Linked DNA regions of Lonchura striata. The protein of the gene in region 2 purifies or fractionates together with the protein of the main gene of each other region. This does not show direct contact. Links are inferred from orthologs where the notes say so. Each region holds a gene or a part of one and is shown on either strand. Other genes may lie near its edges.

The links. The genes of interacting proteins can lie anywhere in the genome.
Region 1: the proteins of KLC1 (region 2) and KIF5B purify together in Homo sapiens (co-immunoprecipitation; 11 studies listed by BioGRID and IntAct, counting the BioPlex papers as one, with this or other methods). This does not show direct contact. The link is inferred for Lonchura striata from reciprocal best matches to the Homo sapiens genes KLC1 and KIF5B.
Region 3: the proteins of KLC1 (region 2) and KIF5C purify together in Homo sapiens (co-immunoprecipitation; 4 studies listed by BioGRID and IntAct, counting the BioPlex papers as one, with this or other methods). This does not show direct contact. The link is inferred for Lonchura striata from reciprocal best matches to the Homo sapiens genes KLC1 and KIF5C.

The regions. Positions count from the first base shown.
Region 1 is NC_134603.1:142,639,695-142,647,380, reverse strand, and holds the start of KIF5B (kinesin-1 heavy chain), read left to right. Parts: upstream 1-4,686; 5' UTR 4,687-4,898; coding exon 4,899-5,024; intron 5,025-7,686. UniProt on the Homo sapiens protein: Microtubule-dependent motor required for normal distribution of mitochondria and lysosomes. Can induce formation of neurite-like membrane protrusions in non-neuronal cells in a ZFYVE27-dependent manner.
Region 2 is NC_134608.1:9,984,723-9,991,570, reverse strand, and holds the start of KLC1 (kinesin light chain 1), read left to right. Parts: upstream 1-3,839; 5' UTR 3,840-4,153; intron 4,154-6,848. UniProt on the Homo sapiens protein: Kinesin is a microtubule-associated force-producing protein that may play a role in organelle transport. The light chain may function in coupling of cargo to the heavy chain or in the modulation of its ATPase activity.
Region 3 is NC_134610.1:2,291,549-2,298,416, forward strand, and holds the start of KIF5C (kinesin heavy chain), read right to left. Parts: upstream 3,001-6,868; 5' UTR 2,951-3,000; coding exon 2,825-2,950; intron 1-2,824. UniProt on the Homo sapiens protein: Microtubule-associated force-producing protein that may play a role in organelle transport. Has ATPase activity. Involved in synaptic transmission. Mediates dendritic trafficking of mRNAs.

The sequences.
Region 1 (7,686 bases), on a different chromosome or scaffold from region 2:
GAAGCAGCTTTAATTTGCTTCTCCACAAACACCCGGTTTAAAGATTTATTCAAATATGTAATGTTCTTTTAAAACCAAATCAAGATCACTTTTGCTCTGCTAGAACAATTTCGATGGTTAATTACATAATTATCCCGATATAGCTTCCCTGTAAGGCTTAGGTTTGCCAATTTGCTTTGCTTTGCAGGTTTTTATTGCTGGGAAAGACTGAAGATCTGAAAGAGCCATAAGTCATAAAAGAATTTGCAGAGGTTTATTGCACAGTTCATAAATGGAAAGAAACATGGTTAGTGAACTAACAACACAAATTCCTCACATAAATTGCTTTAATAAAACATGTTAGTCTTTACTAAGAAATTTTACTAAACTTATTGTCAGCTACAACTGAGATATAGATTTTTTTTCTCATTATATTACTTTTAAAGATAGTCTCTTATCCTAAGTGTCAAAAAATGTATGCTATAGACATTACATAACAACATAGAAGACAGCAAATATATTCTTAATTGGCAAAGAAAGTGCATTCTGTTATTACCACAAAATGGGAAACTTTCCAGGATGCTTGGTCTCTGCCATGTTCTCAGGAGACCACATCTTTAAACACAAGTCCTCAAGGCTGCTCTTCTGACACATCTTGGCGCCAGTAGAGATAACACAGTGCCCTCTTTGAGCACACGGCTTTGTTGTGTCAGCCTTTAAGTAGGTCATGCCAAGGAGCAGTTGCTATTTTGAACAGATCAGAGAAGAGAAACTTCATGGCAGTCCCTGACAGGGATCTGAGAGCACACGAGTGGTTCAGCAGAGCACCTTCACCAAGAGCTCCCACAGCTGGGATGGGACACCATCAGCCTCTTCTCCTATGGGCTCACACAGGACAGCTTCAGAGTGGCCAGTTCCTACTACAGAGTTCACACATGCTGACATCTTTTGTTTCAACATAGTTAAAACGAATCATTATCTACTCATGTGTCTGTGTTGTCCTTGTGGAATGTCTGCTCTGTCAAACATTCAACAGGTAGGTAAGCAAGGCCAAGCACCTATTTTCTTGACAATCATGTAATCACGAGGTTTCTTTTTTGACTGAGATGTTCTAACATCGGGCACTACATGTCAGTAAATGCAGATAAAGGTACATTCCTTCTGCTTACGGATAACAAGAACTAGAAGTTTCTTCAATACATTAGGGGAAATGATATTCAGCAGGTGAAATGTACTTCTGTGAGTAATAATCACAAAGTTGTTTATTATGCAGCTAATATTGCTTTTTCCTGATGTACAGAAGTAAATTAATTTAAAAAGTAGTAAATATTCAGGTTCCTTTCATAAAAATAATAACCTTCTGTCACAGGAAATCTTTGATGATTCAAATCCTACAGCTGCATAAGAATATTGCTAGCCATAAGCTTGTGAATAATCCCAGAAATAGATGAGATAGAAGCATTAATACATCTTGCTGCTTGAGATACAATGTAATAATATCTAACATAGCAACCAACTAAAACAGGTTTTCTGACATGTAAAACCTAGTAACAATTATGTTTAAAGCATTTTATTGAAATCTGTAGACAGATGTCTGTGTATATCTCATATGCTAGATGTTGTGGACTAGCACTGCACCTTCTACAGACTGAGCTTATATCTTGCTTTTTCCAGACAACTATTTCCACATGTGCTCATAGGTGTGGACACATCATTGTTGCTGCCCTGAATAAGACAGCACAGTCCCGCTGCATTTTTAATCACAGTGGAAAAATAAACTTGTTACAACATGAACTCAGTTTAGAAGACATAGCTTACCTCATAAGATAAACTAAGCACAGAAATATTTTTTGCATTACTCTGTGAAAAGAACCTATAAGTGCAACTAGATTATTAGGTTATTTTTCTGTCATGTGGAGCAGTTTTGAAGTGTTTGCCTTGCACACCTATCCTAAGTAAAAACACATCACTAAAATCCCTAAACTGAACATCACTAAAATCCCTAAACTGAGAAGTCTTAAAAATGGGGGATGGCTGATTACAGATGGTCCCTGTTAAAATTTACAGTAGTTTCTCCTTTTTTATAATGAAAAATGAGTATTTTTAAGTACACTTAAAACTGCTCTTCTGAGTAATTCTGGCTTACTAAAATACACTAACTTAAGAGAAAGGCTCCCTATTCTTTTTCCATTTTTAAAAATTAACTTCAAGGCTATTTGAAAAATTACCAGTACAAATTATGATTTCTGTCAAGAAACTGGCTGAACTCAGCCAAGCTGTGAGTTTGTACTCTGTTCCAATCTGAAAGTTCATGCTTGGATGAAAGAGGCACAGTTGTAAAAGTGTGAGATTTTTGGGGCTCTCTGTTAGAATTGTTTACCTGATGCTTTTGTCTAGATACAGTCCCTAAGTTTTGGTCAACTACATTTAGAGCCCCTATAATAAATATGTAAACAAAACTTGCAATAAATTAAGCTTAAAAAAATTCCTGTCCAGATTTTCTTTTTTTTTTTCATTTGGGGTGAAAAAGTGGTGAGAGTCTCCATCCTGGGGGCGACATAATGAGCTGTGAGCTGTGTGTGTTCTGATCCCACTCGCTGGGTTCCTGCTCCAGGATGCACACAGGCAACGAAGCTCATGGGCACACTGGCATCTGTGAACACCTCATGGGTGGGAATTTTCTCTCTTTTAGCTAAAAGAGGAAAAGAAATGTAAACAAACAAACTAAAAAACCCCAAATATCATAGGTTCCTATCTCAACCACCTGCTTTAAGCCTTTACCTCACACTCAGCCCCTAAGGTTTATCACACATACACTGCTGTCCCCAGCAGTGCCATGCCCTGCTGGGGTATGTCTGACCTGTCCAACACCAGCTGCCAGCGGAGCTGAGGTGGCAATGCAGATCGGTGTCTGACATGGCCATGTCACCTGTCCAACACCAGCCACCAGCGGAGCTGACGGAGCTGAGGTGGCAATGCAGATCGGTGTCCGACATGGCCATGTCACCTGTCTGACACCAGCTGCCAGCAGAGCTGAGGTGGCAATGCAGATCAGTGTCCGACATGGCCATGTCACCTGTCCGACACCAGCTGCCAGCGGAGCTGAGGTGGCAATGCAGATCAGTGTCCGACATGGCCATGTCACCTGTCCGACACCAGCTGCCAGCAGAGCTGAGGTGGCAGCACAGATTGGTGTCCAGCATGGCCATGTCACCTGTCCGACACCAGCCGCCAGCGGAGCTGAGGTGGCAATGCAGATCAGTGTCCGACATGGCCATGTCACCTGTCCGACACCAGCTGCCAGCAGAGCTGAGGTGGCAATGCAGATCAGTGTCCGACATGGCCATGTCACCTGTCCGACACCAGCTGCCAGCAGAGCTGAGGTGGCAATGCGGATCTGTGCCCCACATGGCCATGTCACCTGTCCGACACCAGCCACCAGCGGAGCTGAGGTGGCAATGCGGATCTGTGCCCCACATGGCCATGTCACCTGTCCGACACCAGCTGCCAGCGGAGCTGAGGTGGCAATGCGGATCTGTGCCCCACATGGCCATGTCACCTGTCCAACACCAGCCACCAGCGAAGCTGAGGTGGCAATGCAGATCAGTGTCCGACATGGCCATGTCACCTGTCCGACACCAGCTGCCAGCGGAGCTGAGGTGGCAATGCGGATCTGTGCCCCACATGGCCATGTCACCTGTCCGACACCAGCCACCAGCGGAGCTGAGGTGGCAATGCGGATCTGTGCCCCACATGGCCATGTCACCTGTCTGACACCAGCTGCCAGCGGAGCTGAGGTGGCAGTGCAGATCGGTGCCCGACATGGCCATGTCACCTGTCTGACACCAGCTGCCAGCGGAGCTGAGGTGGCAGTGCAGATCGGTGCCCGACACTCCTCACTAGGGCGGCAGCGGCCTCATCCCTGCAGCCCTCTGCCCATCACCTGCCTGAGGGAGCTGGGGGTGATTAGCCTTCAGAAAAGGAGGCTCAGGCGTGATGTTTTTGCTCTCTAAAACTGCCTGAAAGGAGGCTGCAGCCAGGTGGGGGTCAGCCTCTTTTCCCAGGCAACCAGCAACAGGGCCACAGGACTTAGCCTTAAGATGGCCCAAGGGAGGTTCAGGTTACACAAAAATAATTGTTAGACATTTGAATGGGCTGCTCAAGGAGGCTGTGGTGGCTGTCCCTGGATGTATTTAAGACTGGATGTGGCATTTAGTTGATATACATTGTACTGGATGACCTCAGGGCTTTTCCAGCCTGATTCTGTGTGGATGATGCCAGGCTGTGCAGGAACGTGGAGGAGTCACCATTCCTGGAGGAGTTTAAGAGGCATCTGGACTGGCGCTGGGTGATATGGTTTGGTGCTTTAGGGGCCACAGGTAGTGCTGTGTTGACAGTTGGACTTGATGACCTTAAGTGTCTCTTCCAACCTTGATGGTTCCATGATTCCATGATTCTATAATTCTATGATCCGATGAGTTTACGGCCCCATGACCCCAGCGGCACCGCGACTCCAGGCGCTGCCATGGCGCCCCGCCCGCCTGAGGCAACCCCGCCCCTGCCCGCGCCCTCGGCGGCCCCGCGGGCACCGCCCCGCCCGGGGGCGGAGCCGCGCCTGCGCACAGGGCGGGGCTGGGGCGGGGCTGGTGCTGCGGTGGGTGACGTCACCGCCCGCCCCTCCGGCGGGGCGGGGCGGGAGCCGCGGCCGCAGCCGCCATGGCCGGTGCCATGTTGGGGAGGAAGTGAGAGCGGGAGGCGGCGGCGGCGGCCAGGAAGGAGCCCTTCCCTTTTCCCTCCTGCCGGGGCGGGCGCGGCTTTCCCGGCCACGGCGGCTTGCGAGACCCCCCCGGTGCGGGCGGTGCGGCGGCGGCAGCTGGCGGCGGCGGAGCTGAGCGCCCCGGAGGCGGCGGCGGCCTAAGATGGCGGACCCGGCGGAGTGTAACATCAAAGTGATGTGTCGCTTCAGGCCCCTCAACGAGTCCGAAGTGGCCCGAGGCGACAAGTACATCGCTAAGTTCCAGGGCGAGGACACCGTCGTCATCGCGGTGAGGGCCCGCCCGGGCGGGAGAGGCGGGAAGCGCCGGGGGAGGGAGGGAGGGAGGGAGGGGGCGGCCGGGGTCGGCGGGGTCACGCCGCGGGGATGGGCGCGCTGTGGGGCGGGAGGGCTCGGAGCGCCCGCGGGCGGGGACCCTCGGGGCGGGGAGCGGCCTCCTTGGAGACCGAGGCGAAGGGGAAAGGGGGCAGGGACGGCTGCGGGCGGGGTGAGCCGGTCCGGGTATGGGGGGCGGTGGGGCAGGTCGGGAGACCTTTGACAAAGGCGCAAGTGCCGAGGTGCGGAGTGAGGGCGAGTCCCGCAGTGTCCGCCGGCCGGGCGCTGCCCGGGCCGGCCGGCCGTGCTGTGAGATGCTAAATGCACGCGTGGGGGCTGCCGCCCGATCGCTGTCTGCGGAGAGTTTGGGCAAGAAATGCGGAACGGCAGTGCAGGCTCCAGAGCTGTACATCGGTCTTCAGCTGATAGCTTCTTTTTTGTTGTTGTTAAATCAGAATAAACAGACCATTTGCCTTACTGCATGTTCCTAAGTGTATTTTAAGTGGAGTCTCCTTGCAAGGTCTCCTGTTAAAAACATTATGGATGTTGTAGGGGAAAAGATAATCCTTTCCTTTTTCTCCAGTGAATCATAGCTAGCTACAAAGTGGAGCTAGAATATAAAAATAAAGTGCAGTTGTTTGTTGCCTGGTTTGGTTGATGTTGTACAAACACACTTTAGCCCCAATGTTTGTTTTGTTTTTGTTAACTTTTAATTTGTGTTTTCGTGTAAATATATTTCATGAGAAACTGCTGATTCTTGCTGAAAGTAACTTAGAGACCAGTTATCTGTCTAAAAATTTTAGGGGTTTATGTTTTGTTTTTTGAGGCTACCAATAATAGCTTTTTTTGCACAGTATCTGAAGCTGCAGGAAGCAATAGAGGCAATTTAATAAAATACTTTTTTTGTAATAGGATTTACTAAATACTAGTGCTTTAGTCTGATAATATTCAGCTGAATTTGCCAATAAAATATGGAATTCCATGAGTCTGGAGTGACAAGAACAATAGCATTCTTGTGAAATGAGGTAATTTGGGTTTATTTCAGCTGGCAACTTACTATCTTGGAGTACATCACTTCTTCCTGAGGTTGTACAGGTAAACTCAGAGGAAGGAAGCAATCCTGGAAAATGGAAAATATAACTTGAGTGAATAATCTCACTTTCATCAGTAAATACCCATTCATTGTGACACTGCATAGTCTGTTTATAATCCACAGTTCATTGTAGAAACCCTAATGTGTTCTAACTTAAAAATAAATTTTCTTCAGTAGCCCTCGTATAAATGAAAGCTTATATTTCTAAAATATTCTTTAGGTGCATTTTTAAAATATCTAAAATGTAGAGGTAAATAAATATCTGAATATCTAAAATGTGCAGAGGTAGTTCTGTATCTGAGTAGAACAATTTGACATTATGTTCCTGAGGGATCAGGTGGGCTTTCTGTTCAGAATTGATGTTTAGTGTTGCCAGCTGTACCTTGGTGATTTCACCTTGGAAAAAATCACAACAGATTTCCTAGTTGTCCTGGATCCAGGACTTGCCATGTCTAACTTGGGGGAAGATGCCCCCAAAATTATTAAATGGGGTAGCAGTGACAGTATTTGTGTCTTGTTTCACAAAATTTGAATAAAGGTTTGATAATCTCTGATTTTGTATTTGTATAATGATGGCTATAGGACAAGATTGATATACTCAAAATTTTGACTTGAATCTCTAAAACTGTTGACAATAACTTGTGTTTGGTGCTTTTGTTTTCAATAGCTTGAGTGAGTTTTTACAAATTTAGAGAGCCTCTAACCTGGGCCTGTAGTCAGGCACCACTTCTTTCTGTGTGTTGCAGAATTGCCCAAGGGAGGATAACAGAAGCAGTGCTCCTGAAACAGTGTCTGAAAGGCTTCCTCCATAAGCTGTGTGTGTGGTTACCTCAGCTCTTTGGTTTCTGCCCTTGTTGCTGCCTGTTGAGCAGTAATTGAGCCACTTTTGGTTTTTTATAGCTGCTTCCCTCAGCTGCCTGAAGGACTTGCACCTCCCGTGGGTGCCTGGCTCGGGGCTGGAGCAGTGGAGGCTGCCTTAATAATCCTGGGAGTTGCCTGTGATGGTCGATGGGAGGGGAAGACTGGGAGGCAGCAGAGCTGATCCCAGGCTGCAGGTTTGACTCCTCTGGAGGAGGGTGGGGAGGAAAATCAGTGACTATAGCCAAACCCTCCTCCTTCCTTGATTCCCCTGTCATCTCTGAGCTAGCTGTCTTCCCTTCTTTTCCTAGCTCCTGCAAAATTAATGTCATCTTTGTCTTTCTGGACAAGTGAGTCATTTTGATCTGTGTTAGATAAAATAAAAGTTTTAACTGTAGCTAGTGTGTAACAGCAGTTTTAGGGGACATAATGGTGTTGGTCTGCTTTAAAGAGCAGATTCTGAAACACAGTATTTTCTTTCCACAGGATGAAACTTTTTAACTAGTAAAGGGCTTTTAATTTTTTAATTGCAGGTGACTTCTTTCTATCTCAATAGTATATTAATTATTTTTTCCTAATGGCTTCTTCTGTTAATTAAATACAAGGATTTTGTTAAAACAGATTACTCATTATATGACTTTTATGTTAAACATTAGAAATGTACCTG
Region 2 (6,848 bases):
AGCTTATTGACTTGGGAAGCAGGACCATGATCAGTGTTTATTTTACTAAGAATTAATGCCTTGCCTGACAGTAGGTTCCCAATGGTAAGTTCAGGCATTTGACAATGAGTCAAGCAAAGCAAAACACACTCCTTTTACCCCAAAGTGCCTGAATTTTCTCACAAAAAGGTAGCTCTGCATGCAGTAATTGTACATATGAAGAAAAGAGTTGGGCTAAAATTGTGCCTAGGACTGGGTGCTTGACATTTCTGAGTCTTGAGCACTGGTTTTTATGTCTCCTCTTTTCCATAAAGGATGTTCTTGTAGGAAATACAAACTAAAACATATGCAACTGTCAAGTGGTTTTGATGAAAAACCAGCCAGATTGCTGAATCTGGCCTTTCAATATTTATTATTGCCAGGATGCTTTTAAATAGCAGTTTAGCAGCAGTTAAAATTACTCCAATATAGTACTTTATTGTGGCCATATTTCTAAAATTATGTCATAGATTTTATAGACTATAAGATTAGATTAAAAAAAAAAAATCTCTTTGGATGGGAAGATCCTCTAAGACAGAAGGATGTATTTTTTTAGTACAATGGTGTGCTGGTGGCATTTGGCCACTGTCAACCCATCACAAACTGTAAAATAAAATGACCCACACTTCTTAAAGGAAGTGAACCTGAATTTCTTTAGAGGTTTGCCCCATTTCTGAATGTCAGGTAAGCTGACCTCAGTTCACTGTGTGTATTTCTCACACTGTTGCACTTCAAAAACCACAGAGCTTTGTGCTGCATTAGTTGAACTGTTTGCTTTTTGCTCTCCCACTGTGCATTACAAACCTCCCTCTCTCTTCTGGGAGTAGAGGGAAATTGGAATATTGAGACTAAAGAATCCAGCATTGTAAATAATTAGTTTTGGGGTTTTGTTTTGGCATGCACTCAGGAGTCTGCAGAAAACAATGGTGACTTTGCTGGTGATAGGCAAAGGATCATAGGAGTCACCATCCTTGAAGGTGTTTAAGTAAAGATTGGATATGGCACTTAGTGCCATGGTCTAGTTGACATGGTTGTGTTAGGTCATAGGTTGGGCTTGATAATCTCAGAGGTCTTTTCCAACCTAATTGACTCTGTGATTTCATAATATACTAGAGACAGCATATCTCGATAATTTAATCAAAAAATCAGGGCTTGCAGCATAACCAGTTCCTTAAGATAAAATGGAAATGTGGGCAGTGAATAGTTTTTACTGCTAGATGAACCTGGATAATTCTCATGTAGATGAGACAGGAAAAACAAGATCCAAATGAAGAGGAACTCTTTGGATATTTCAGGTCAGGCAGTAGCTTGAGGAAAAATCATCTTCACCAAGTCTCTCCTGTGTCTAGCTTCTGCTGTGTGCCATAAACACAGAGGAGTAAACTGCACTATAGTTCCATTGAGCTAATCAACCTTCCTGCAGGAGAGAGCTTATAGTGTGTGCTGTTTATGTGGGAAATTGCCAGGATGCATATACTTGATTAGCCAGCATATTATGAATCAGGGTCATAGCTGGAGTAGTTGCTTTGTTCAGGGATGCTCATATCCCTGGGGTAAGCAGCTAATTGCAGGAAATCTTTTAAAGAAAATGTGTGATAGGAAGAAAGCAATGAATATTGTTTATTCAAAAGGCAGGAGTGGTTCCTTTGAATCAGTTCTCTTGCATAATTATGTAATTAGGGCATGTTCTATTTTTAATTAAAGCTCTTGCATATTCATGAGAATACTCTGAACCTGTGAACCAATTGGTATAACTCTTTAAAATGTAGTTTCTGTAAGGGAATGCCCTTCAATCTTTTTCCCCCTTTCGTATTACTGTGCAAAGAGATATTTCACACTGTTATAATTAGGTTGTATTGCCTGTTAAAACTAAAATGTGGTTAATTAAACCATTAATATAAAATTGCCAGAGAAAAGTTTTAAATTGAGATGAAGAATACAAGAACTGCTGCTTGGAAATACTTGTATCAAAACTGGGTTTTGCTGGACAGCTGGATCTGTGTAAAATATCAATCAGAGAGTGGAATTCAGTAAGTATACTTTATTTCCCTCAGCTTTTCAAATCCAGCAATGATTCTCTGTATTTACAGTCTGAAGACTATCTATGTTCCCCTAACTTTGCTTTGTTTCTTGTGGGCTTCTGTGACTCTTCCTGTTCTTCTGCCTCTTTGACAACAGCATTAGCTTTGATTCCTCTTCTGACTTCCTGCTTATTCTTAGGAGCCTTGCTTTCTCACCCGACTCTTGTTCTCACATCTATTCTGTAGACTTGCTCAGCATTGTACATGAGGGCAAACATATGCAAGCTCTGCTTTCCTTTAATACTTTAAATATTACCACTTAGGTGAGGCTGCATATTTTGATTTACCACTATACCTCTATGTTCTTCTATTAGGTTATGATTCACACCCTGTACATATTGCAGGTCCCCTTCCACTGAACAATGCTATTCTATTCTATGTGGAGCTCAGGTGATAATGCATCACAATACAACTCTTTCATAAAGTTAGGCTGTCACTAATCCCTGATGATTTACAGTGTACATTTTACAGCTTTGCTATAATTAATGTTTTGAGTGCTTGGTTTTTTTTTTGGGGGGGTCTTTGTTTTTGTTGTATTGTTTGTTTGTTTGGGTTTTTGAATGGTTATTTTAATTTTTTTTCTATCTTATACCTCAGTTCCCTCCATCTTTCCTTTCTGGGCTTAACGTCTAACTAGTGGAACATAACATGAAAATACTGTGGCTGTTCCTTCCTCTCTAGCAAGAGTGGGAATGAAATTGGAAGCTGCAAATAAATAGTTCTTGTGACAAGTGTCACTGAGTTCTCATGGAACTCTTACTTTTCATGTATAAATATGTGTAAGAGCAGGGACCTTTCACTTACTTCCCCGCAGAACAAAGATGAAGGCATTGAAATATATTGGCAACACTCACTGAGCTCTGTGTGGTGGGCAACCTTTAACACAGTACTTCTCCTTCAGCTTATTTCTCTGTGACTCGCTCCATTGAGCCGTTGCAAACTGCGGGGATTTTCAAGCATATTTCATGAAGTCATGGTTGGAAGAGACCCTCATGATTTTCCAGTTCAACCATCTACCCAGCACTGCCCCTGTAACCCCATGACCACTAAACCACATTGCCCAGTGCCACATCCAGGTGCCTCTTATCACCTCTGGGGTGGTGGCTCCACCAGCTCCCCGGGCAACCTATTCCAGAGAATGATGAGGTTCCTCCTGAGCCTCCTCGTCTTGAAACCAAACCAACTCGGGTCCCTCAGCCATTCCCCATAAGACACGTTTTCTAGACATTTCACGAGCCTTGCTGCCCTTTGCTGGACACACTCCAGCACCTCAATGTCCTTTTTAAAGGGCGTGGAAGATTTTCCCAGAGGCATCCAACTGAGATGGGGACATCAGTTTCACGAGTCCTGCAGTTACCATAACCCTGAACTTCTCTCCACGGGAGTAGGTCAAACCAGCGCCAAGAGCACCAGCAGTGGAGCGAAACCGCCCCGGTGTCACCCAGGGCGCCCCGAGGAAACGCCGGGATCTGCTCTGCACTGACATCCACTTGAGGCAAATCCTAGCGAGGTTTAGCGCGGCTGCACTGGCAGCCTCGGGGATGCCCCTGAAGCCCGGAGCTGCGCCGAGCATCCCGCGCGGCGCCGCCGCTCCCGGGCAGGGATGGCGCCGTGAGGGGGGCGCTGGGAGAGAAGGGCGCGCGGGCGCTTGTGGGAGAAGGGGGGCGCCGCCATGTCAGGCGGGGCGGGAGGGAAGGAGGGAGGGGAGCGCGGGGCGGGACCGGGACCGGGGCGGCGGCCGCAGCCGCAGCAGCAGCAGCCGGGGCGGTGGTGGCGGCTGCCGGCAGCTGTCAGCGCCCGCTCCGCCGGCGCCGACCACCGCGGCCCTGCAGCGCCTTGCGGGGAGCACTGGGCGCGCCGTGGTGCTGACTCGCTTCTTTCTCGCCTTCCCTCCCTCTCTCCGCTCCTCTCTCCCCCCAAAAAACCCTTTTCCTTCCTCCCTTTCGCCCGCCCATCGCTGACATCCTCCTCCGGCCGCCTCCCCGCCCCGGGCTGCGCGGCCCCCGCCGCCCCAGCGAGCGCTGCGCACATCGCCCGAGCTGCAGCACCGAGCGGTGAGCGGGGGGAGCCGCAGGGCCGGGACGCGGGGTTTGTGTGTGTGTGTGTGTGCGTGTATGTGTGTATGTGTGTATGTGCGTGTGTGTTTGGGTGCGGGTGCCTGGGGCGTTCAGTTCCCCTCCCTTTTCATCCGCCGCTGCGCAAATAACAAAAGGCTGCGCGGGCCGCCCGGTGCCCCCGCGGCGCCGCCGCTGACAGCCGGCCCCGTCCTTCCGCGCCCAGGGCGGGGTGGCTTTTTGGGGAGGCTGTTTTTGGGCGTTTTGTCAGTTGCGCTCGGCTGCGGGCAGGGGTACGTGCCTGAGGATGGGGATCGGCTCGGCTTTGTCCCCGTTTCCTCTCCCGGCTCCCCTCGGTGCTGCGGCGGGCGCCGCCCTGGGAGGGAGCGGGCAGAGGGCTGGGGAGGCTTCGGCCTGCGGCCCCGGGCGTGCGGCGCTTTGTCTGCGCTCCCCCGGCTCCGCGCTCTGCCGCTGCCAGGTCCGAGCTGCTGGAGGGCGAGGCGAGGACAGGTCTTCTCTGGGCTTTGTACACAGTGACCGGATTTATACATTGTAGGTCACCTGCCTTGCTGTAGTCGGAGGCGATTCATATAGACTTAGGTCTTGCCTGGATTTCTGCACCCTCAGAATAAGGCAAGCATTGGTTAGAAACGCGTTAATCTAGCAAAAATATAGAATTTATTTAATTGATAACTAACTGTATCTTTAGAGCAGAGATTGATTAGAAGGACACTTTAAAACCTTATTCATTTTGCTTTTGTCTTTCTGATATTTCTAAGTAACAAGATGCCGTATTTATAGATCTGCATAGCAGTTGTATGTAATCAGAATAAGGAAAGTTCTTAACACTTATTGAATTCTGTGTTCTAGGCATATTGAAGCACATTTTAATGACCAATGTGGCATCACCTAGTGTAATACTCTTGTGTGGCTTTTGAAGGTGGCTAATCAGTGATGGAGCTCTTAATAAGTTTTTTTTTGTATTAAGTAATTTCCATTAATGGATATGATGTAAAAGTAGTATCAGTACTCAAGATACTGGTCATGAAGTCAGAATACAGACTCAGAAAACAAAACTGACTAGGAAAAAGCAAAAGTCTGTTTTTATAGTTTGATTTGAACAGCAAAATAGTGAGCCAGTGTCATTCATATAACATGCTTTCATGTTTAGACATAATAGAAGAAACTAAACCAGTTAAGATTCAGTTTTAGCTGTGTTGTGCTTGACAAAAGGTTTAACAAAAATTGCTCTGCAAAGTAATTGTCTCTTTCACTTCCACTTTTGCATTTGCTCATCACTTAAATAGGAAACTTATGTACAAAGTGTGTCCATTGGAAGATAAAGAGGAGCTGTTGAGAATTTAGACAGCTTCGCATTTTGATTAAAAAAAAATCCCTACTAAACTGAAAGCAGCACCTTTTCGAGTGCACAGTTGGTTTAAAACTCTTTTGGAAGATAGCTTTATTTTAATTGAGTATGAATTCCAAAGCTTCAGCGAAACATGATAGAGGATGTTATAACCCTAGGATTACAGATACAATTGGAAGTTACACATTCAGCATTTACTGGCAGCAGAGAGAAAGCTGATCCATCTGGTGAGGCTGAGCAGAAGACCTTGTAAGTCACTTGCGCAATTATTTTTGTGACCACATGGTTCAGGAGGACCTTTTCCATGAAATTAGAACAGCTATGGAGAATTCTGGCAGCTCCATTTAGGTAGACATTTCACATAATGGAGAAGCATGTGGGCAAGTGCAGGAAATTTAAATTGTCTGTTCCTGAAACTGGCTCATCAATGCAGTATCACTTCTGCATCATGTTGCAGTTCAAGTTTGGCAGCCTTCATGTTTCTGAAGGATGATGATGGAGCTGAAGAATTCCAGTAGTCAGAAATTCTAACAGCAATTAGTGCACAGATTCCCTTTACTTGCTACCATATATAATTAAAACAGAGAATAAAGTTACCCCCCAAAGGCCCTGTGAAGTAGCCTCATGGTTTGTCAAATTCCTATTATATGGTTAATAATGCCTTATTAATGGAATGGATTATTTTAAAAGGTCTCTAATATACAACAGAGGACTCACATACATAATTTGTAATTAAATGTGCAGGAGTCCCAAGCACAATCTGAATGTTTTTGACATAGAACAAAATACACTGGACAGATGTTTAAGGCATATAAGGACAATTGCTGCTTCCTGTGTTTATGGAGAACTTGCCATGCTAATGTCAGAGACCTCTCACTCATGTGCTGCTCATACAGTACACATATCTCTCTCTCTCTCTGTATCTTTTTGTGTATGCATACATATCTGCATATGTCTCCTATTTAATTGGGGGTTTGGGGAAATAATGTAGCCTTATATTCAGTTCTGAGTCCATTTAATGTAGCTTCTGTTTCTCTTGAAATGTGGGCTTGTGCAGTTACTCTTTCATCTCTTCTTCTGTTTGACTTCTCTGGGAGACGTGCAATTGAATTTACTCTGGGATTAACAGCATCTCTCCAGCTGCATAGCTCATGATTATTTTAAAACTCAATTCAGTGTACAAATACTTGTCAAATAAAGTTTCCGTAAGCGGAGTAAAAAATACAGAAATTTGGGTAAATTCATAAATAAGCAAAGTGTACTTTTGTATTCACTGTTGAAGTGCAGCATCACGGACAGTGATGGGGACAAGCATGCTAAGTCTAG
Region 3 (6,868 bases), on a different chromosome or scaffold from region 2:
CCAAACCATCACAGTTACTGTTTTCCCAGCCAACAGATATTTTATAGACAAAGACACATTATGAGTGGGGAAAAGAGAATTCTAAACTCCGATTCTCTTCAAAACGCTGTAAAGGATTTACAGGAGCTGCATTTTAATCTGCTTTTAATATGTCTGAGGGTTTATTGATTTAGGGGGAGGGGAGCTCGCTGACATTTGTTTCTTAAACATCACAATGGCACAGAGACATTTTCCCTCCCAATATCTGCTGGCCAAATCCAGCCCTCTGCTGCTGCCCAAGATTGATAACCAATTTGATTATTCTATTGTTAACAGGCTGCTGGGGGTGCCACAGCTTTAACCTTCACAGAAAGACAATTAATTTGGCAGGACAAGAGGGCATTTCATATTAAAAGAAAATAACAACCACAAGCTGTTTATGCTCATAATTCACACTTTTTTTTTTTCCCTCCCCTCACGGCTGTTCTGCAACTTTCACCAGCAAAGTTTCTGATGACCTCAAGGTTCTGGTTAAGGATTTTAACAAATTGTGCAAGGAGCTGTGCTGGCAATTAATTGTAGGGTCTTTTCATCACCATACAGCAGAGAACATGTTATTGATGACCAGCATATGAAATAGATGTCACAGATGACCAGCATATGAAATATTTATATATCATATAATATATATAATAAATATATATGAAATAAAGCACCACAGACCAGGCTAAACCAAAAATCTGACCGTGAACCCCCACCCAAAGTGGCACTGGGGGTTCTGAGCGCTGCCCTCTGAGGGACCTGCTCCAGGAGAGGGAAAGGAGAGGGAATGGGAAAATGGAGAGGGCAAGGGGAAAGGGAGAGGGAAATAGGAGAGGGAAATGGGAGAGGGAAAATGAGAGGGAGAGGGAAAATGAGAGGGAGAGGGAAATGGGAGAGGGAAAGGGAGAGAGAAAAGGAGAGGGAGAGGGAAAAGGAGAGGGAGAGGGGAAAGGAGAAGGAGAGGGGAAAGGAGAGGGAAAAGGAGAGGGAAAAGGAGAGGGAGAGGGAAAAGGAGAGGGAGAGGGAAATGGGAGAGGGAAAGGGAGAGGGAAATGGGAGAGGGAGAGAGAAAAGGAGAGGGAAAAGGAGAGGGAGAGAGGGAAGGGGGAAAGGGAGAGGGAAATGGGAGAGGGAGAGAGAAAAGGAGAGGGAAAAGGAGAGGGAAATGGGAGAGGGAGAGAGAAAAGGAGAGGGAAAAGGAGAGGGAGAGAGGGAAGGGGGAAAGGGAGAGGGAAGCTGCTGGGCTGGGAAGGAGCCGCATCCCGAGCCTTTGTTCCCATGAAAGCCCTGGAGCAGCCGAGCCCCAGCAGAGCGCGGGGGGCGCGCAGGGCCGGGCGGGGATGGGGGGTGGAGGCGATTTGGGTCCATTTCATCGTTTTAAACGCGGAAATTTAAAAAAAAAAAAAAAAAAAACTCGGGCGGCATCCCGCAGCGCTGCTCAGCGCTCCGCGGGGCTGCCGGGCACGGGGATGCCGGGGTGGGGATGGGGATCCGGGATGGGGATGGGGATGGGGATGGGGATCCCGGGATGGGGATGAGGATCCCGGGATGAGGATTCCAGGATGAGGATGGGGATCCCGGGATGGGGATGAGGATGGGGATTCCGGGATGAGGATGGGGATCCCGGGATGGGGATGAGGATGAAGATCTCGGGATGAGGATGAGGATCCCGGGATGGGGATCCCGGGATGGGGATGGGGAATCCGGGATGGGGATGGGGATCCCGGGATGGGGATGGGGATCCCGGGATGGGGATGAGGATGGGGAATCGAGGATGGGGATGGGGATCCCGGGATGGGGATGGGGATCCCGGGATGGGGATGGGGATCCCGGGATGAGGATGCGGATCCCGGGATGAGGATGCGGATCCCGGGATGGGGATCCCGGGATGGGGATGAGGATGGGGAATCGAGGATGGGGATGGGGATTCCGGGATGGGGATGGGGATCCCGGGATGGGGATCCCGGGATGAGGATGCGGATCCCGGGATGGGGATCCCGGGATGGGGATGAGGATGGGGAATCGAGGATGGGGATGGGGATTCCGGGATGGGGATGGGGATCCCGGGATGGGGATCCCGGGATGAGGATGGGGATCCCGGGATGGGGATCCCGGGATGCGGCTCCGGTGCCGGCGCTGCCGCAGGGGCGCGGCGGAGGCGCGGGCGGCCGCCCCAGTCGAGCATGCCCAGTCCCCGACATGACATCAGCGCCCGAGCCCGCGGCTCCCCCGCGCCCCCCGGACCCCCGGGACCCCCGGCACCCGCGGGGACCCCCGGGCCGCTCGCCCGGTGGGTCGGGGACAGCCCGGACGGGGGGACGCGGGCAGCGCCGCCGCCCCCATCCCGCTCCGCGGCTGCGGCAACAATGGAGGGATGGAGGGATGGAGAGGGTGGGGGGATGGAGGGATGGAGGGATGGAGGGATGGAGGGATGGAGGGGAATGGAGGGATGGAGGGGATGGAGGGATTGGGGGATGGAGGGGATGGAGGGATAGAGGGATGGAGGGGATGGAGGGGATGGAGAGGATGGGGGGAATGGAGGTTGGAGGGGATGGAGGGATTGGGGGGATGGAGGGGATGGAGGGATGGAGGGATGGAGGGATTGGGGGGATGGAGGGGATGGAGGGATGGAGGCGATGGGGGGGATGGAGGCGATGGGGGGGATGGAGGTTGGAGGGGATGGAGGGCATGGAGGGAATAGGGGGGACCCGCCGGGAGCGCTCGGGGGGTGATGCTCGCCCCGAGAGGAGGGACGCTCGCCCCGCCCGCGCGGGATGCGGGATGCGGGATGCGGCAGACTCACCCCGATGACCACGGTCTCGTCGCCCTTGAATTTGGGGATGAATTTGTCGCCGCGCAGGATCTCGGCCTCGTTGAGGGGCCGGAAGCGGCACATCACCTTGATGCTGCACTCGGCGGGGTCCGCCATGGCGGCGGCGGGCCCGGCGCTGCGCGGGGCAGCGGCGGCGGCGGCGGGCGGGACCGGGGCGGGGCGGGGACCACCGGGCGGGGCGGGACCGGGGCTGGACCGGGGCTGGACCGGGACCGCCGGGCGGGGCCGGGGCTCGCAGCCCGGGCGGTGCTCGCAGCCCGGACACGCCCCGGGCCGTCCCGCAGACCCGCGGGGATGCGCGGAGCCGCCCCGGAGTGACCCCGGGGCCGCCCCTCCCAGCGCCCAGGGACAGCTCATTCTGCTCGGGGCACCTTCCATCACTCCAGGGACACTTCTACTGTCCCCTGGGACACCTTCCATCACTCCAGGGACACCTCCACTGTCCCCTGGGACACCTTCCATCACTCCAGGGACACCTCCACTGTCCCCTGAGACACCTTCCATCACTCCAGGGACACCTCCACTGTCCCCTGGGACACCTTCCAGTGTCCCAGGGACACCTCCACTGTCCCCTGAGACACCTTCCATCACTCCAGGGACACCTCCACTGTCCCCTGGGACACCTTCCATCACTCCAGGGACACCTCCACTGTCCCCTGAGACACCTTCCATCACTCCAGGGACACCTCCACTGTCCCCTGGGACACCTTCCAGTGTCCCAGGGACACCTCCACTGTCCCCTGAGACACCTTCCATCACTCCAGGGACACCTCCACTGTCCCCTGGGACACCTTCCATCACTCCAGGGACACCTTCCATCACTCCAGGGACACCTCCACTGTCCCCTGAGACACCTTCCATCACTCCAGGGACACCTCCACTGTCCCCTGGGACACCTTCCATCACTCCAGGGACACCTTCCATCACTCCAGGGACACCTCCACTGTCCCCTGAGACACCTTCCAGTGTCCCTGGGACACCTTCCAGTGTCTCAGGGACACCTCCACTGTCCCCTGGGACACCTTCCATCACTCCAGGGACACCTCCACTGTCCCCTGGGACACCTTCCAGTGTCCCTGGGACACCTTCCATCACTCCAGGGACACCTTCCAGTGTCCCTGGGACACCTTCCATCACTCCAGGGACACTTCCACTGCCTCCAGGGACACCTTCCAGTGTCTCAGGGCCACCTCCACTGCCCCAGGGACACCTTCCATCACTCCAGGGACACCTCCACTGTCCCCTGAGACACCTTCCAGTGTCCCCAAGGACACCTTCAATTCTCCCACGTTGCTCCAAGCCCCATCCAGCCTATCCTGGGTATTTCCAGGGATCCAGGGGCAGCCACAGCTGTTCTGGACAATCTCTGCCAGGGTCTCCACACCCTCACAGCAAAGGATTTCTTCCATTTCTCTGAACTAAATTTCCCCGAGTCTCTCTCCAGCTTCTTCCAGATGCTGGAAGCTGCTGTGGGCTCTCCACACAACCTTCACCACTCAACCTTCCCCACACAACCTTCCCCACACACTCAACCTTCCTCACACAACCTTCCTCACACAACCTTCTCCCCAGCATTCCCAACCTCTCCTAGGGAAGGTGCTCTAGTTTCCACATCAGCTTCGTGGTGACCCTCTGAATTTGCTCCAATATGAAACATTCATACATAATATCATATATATAATAAATATATATTAAATAAAGCACCACAGACCGAGCTAAACCAAAAACCTGCCCGTGAACCCCCACCCAAGCCCCCCTCTCCAAGCTCCAAGCTGCCCTTGGTGTCTCCCCTCAGCATCTTTCTCCCTCTGCCCCAGCTGGATCCAGGTTAAAGGATGTTTTTCCTGGGATGTCGCTCTGGGAGGAGCAGCAGGAGCAGTGGTGCCTCTGGTGCCTAGTTTAGGGCAAATTTGGGGAAAACCCTCTGGAAGGAGCCCTCAGGAAACAAATCCCCACGGCCCCTCCCCACCCACCTGGTTCGGGAAAAAAATTTCCTCTGAGAGAAGTGGAAAAGAACCTGTTTATTTCACAAACAAAGCACCCCCAGCACCAAAGAAAATAACAACACCAGATGACAACAAAACTCCTTCACCACTCTGAAAAGGTGACAAATCCAGACTTTCCTGGGAGTGGTCGCTGGGGATTGCTCTGGGCACTGGGGACGGATGCTGCAGATCACAAAATGCAGGCTCTGGGTGCTCCTCGGGGTTTCCAGGGTGGATGGTATTCAGGAAAAGGAAAAGGGAAAGGAAAAAAAAAGAAAAAGGAGGGAAAGAAGGAAAGGAAAGGAAAGGAAAGGAAAGGAAAGGAAAGGAAAGGAAAGGAAAGGAAAGGAAAGGAAAGGAAAGGAAAGGAAAGGAAAGGAAAGGAAAGGAAAGGAAAGGAAAGGAAAGGAAAGGAAAGGAAAGGAAAGGAAAGGAAAGGAAAGGAAAGGAAAGGAAAGGAAAGGAAAGGAAAGGAAAGGAAAGGAAAGGGAAAGGAAATGGGAAGGGAGCCTCCTGCTCCTCTCCAGGGAGGCTGTGCTCGTCCTCCTCCCCTAAAAACGCTCCTTCCTTACCTGCTGCAATCACCTGCAGCTCTCCCTCCTGCCTCGTTCATGGTTTGGAACACTCTGAAATACCACAGGAATTTCCTCCTCCTCCTCCATCAGTCTCTCCCGACAAGAATCTCCTGCTTAAAAAGAACCCAAACATCCATGATGCCTTCTTGGAAGCTGCTGGCCCTGGTTTCCACCAGAGTTTCATTCAACCACCCTCAGCTGTGAAATTAAGATGAGGGTGGACAACCCTGCAGCATTTTGATGGAAATCTCCCTTTTTTTTGCAGTCATTACCTGAGGTGGATGTGAGGAGCAGGCTGGCCACAAAGCCTCTCACGCCCTTCTTAAAATCAATTCCATGGGGGAGAGTTAGCAATGTGCAGCATGTGATAAGCCATTATTACATAATGGGATTTATTCCCGTGGATTACCAATTATCCCTTTTATTTCTCTTATGTTTCAAGCTTTTACCCTGAATAGCAAATTTGTTAGTCATGACAAGCAGGGGCTTAGTCATAAAAGACAAGTCTTTGGGTGAATTAATCCTTATTTTCCTCCATTATGGAGAGCTCATTTTGGAGTGAGATAAGCAAAACTCGATTTTTCTCTCGGAGCAGGTATAATCTGCCATCAGAAGAATGCAGAGAGCCATCTTTTCCCAGCAGCTTTGTCACATACAACGTGACATTGTCTGGAGCGCAGACAATACTGAATTGTCACCCAGCTGGATCTATTTTTACTACTTATCACCAGATTAGGTGAAGCAGCCTGGTAGGAATGTGAATTTTCAGCCAGATTTGGGGGTGATCAGCGCCTCCCTGGGTCTGTGAGCTTCTCCCAGGCAGGGCTGGGTGCCTGAAGGTGGGATGGACAGTTTGGTGGGAACCTGCTTTATAAAAACCATGAAAATACAGAAAAGCAGAGCTTAAATACTTCATTGTTTTCACCTTCATTCGTTTCTTTCACCTCTCAAACCATGTCATTTTTTCAGCTGTACACTTGCAAGAAATCCACTTAGATACACGTTTTGCTGAGCTTACTTACACCTGAACATATGAAAATTGCCTTCCTTCCAGCACCACAAAAAGAGAACCTGGGTTTTCTCTCCTGTTCCCCCTTTCCCAGCTCCCCAGTTTAGCTCACCCTGGCAGACCAGATATGGTTTGACAGCAACTTCTGATTTTTCCTGAAGAAATTCCCCAGCTGAGCCAACTTCAGCTCGGTAAACATCCCAAGATATCAGAATAATGAATGGGAATAATAAAGGAATAACAAATCCCTTCCTCCTCGAGGACTGGGATCATAAAGGAATGAGAAAATTCCATTTCTCTCCAGGGGAGCCAAGGTGTTGAGGCTGCAGGAAAACCAGGGAGGGGACAGGTGACAAAGCAGGACAGGGACAGTGACAGAGGTGATCCCACAGAAATGGGGGTGATGCTTTGTCAAGGCTGCCCCAGAGCAGAGGCTGGACAGAGC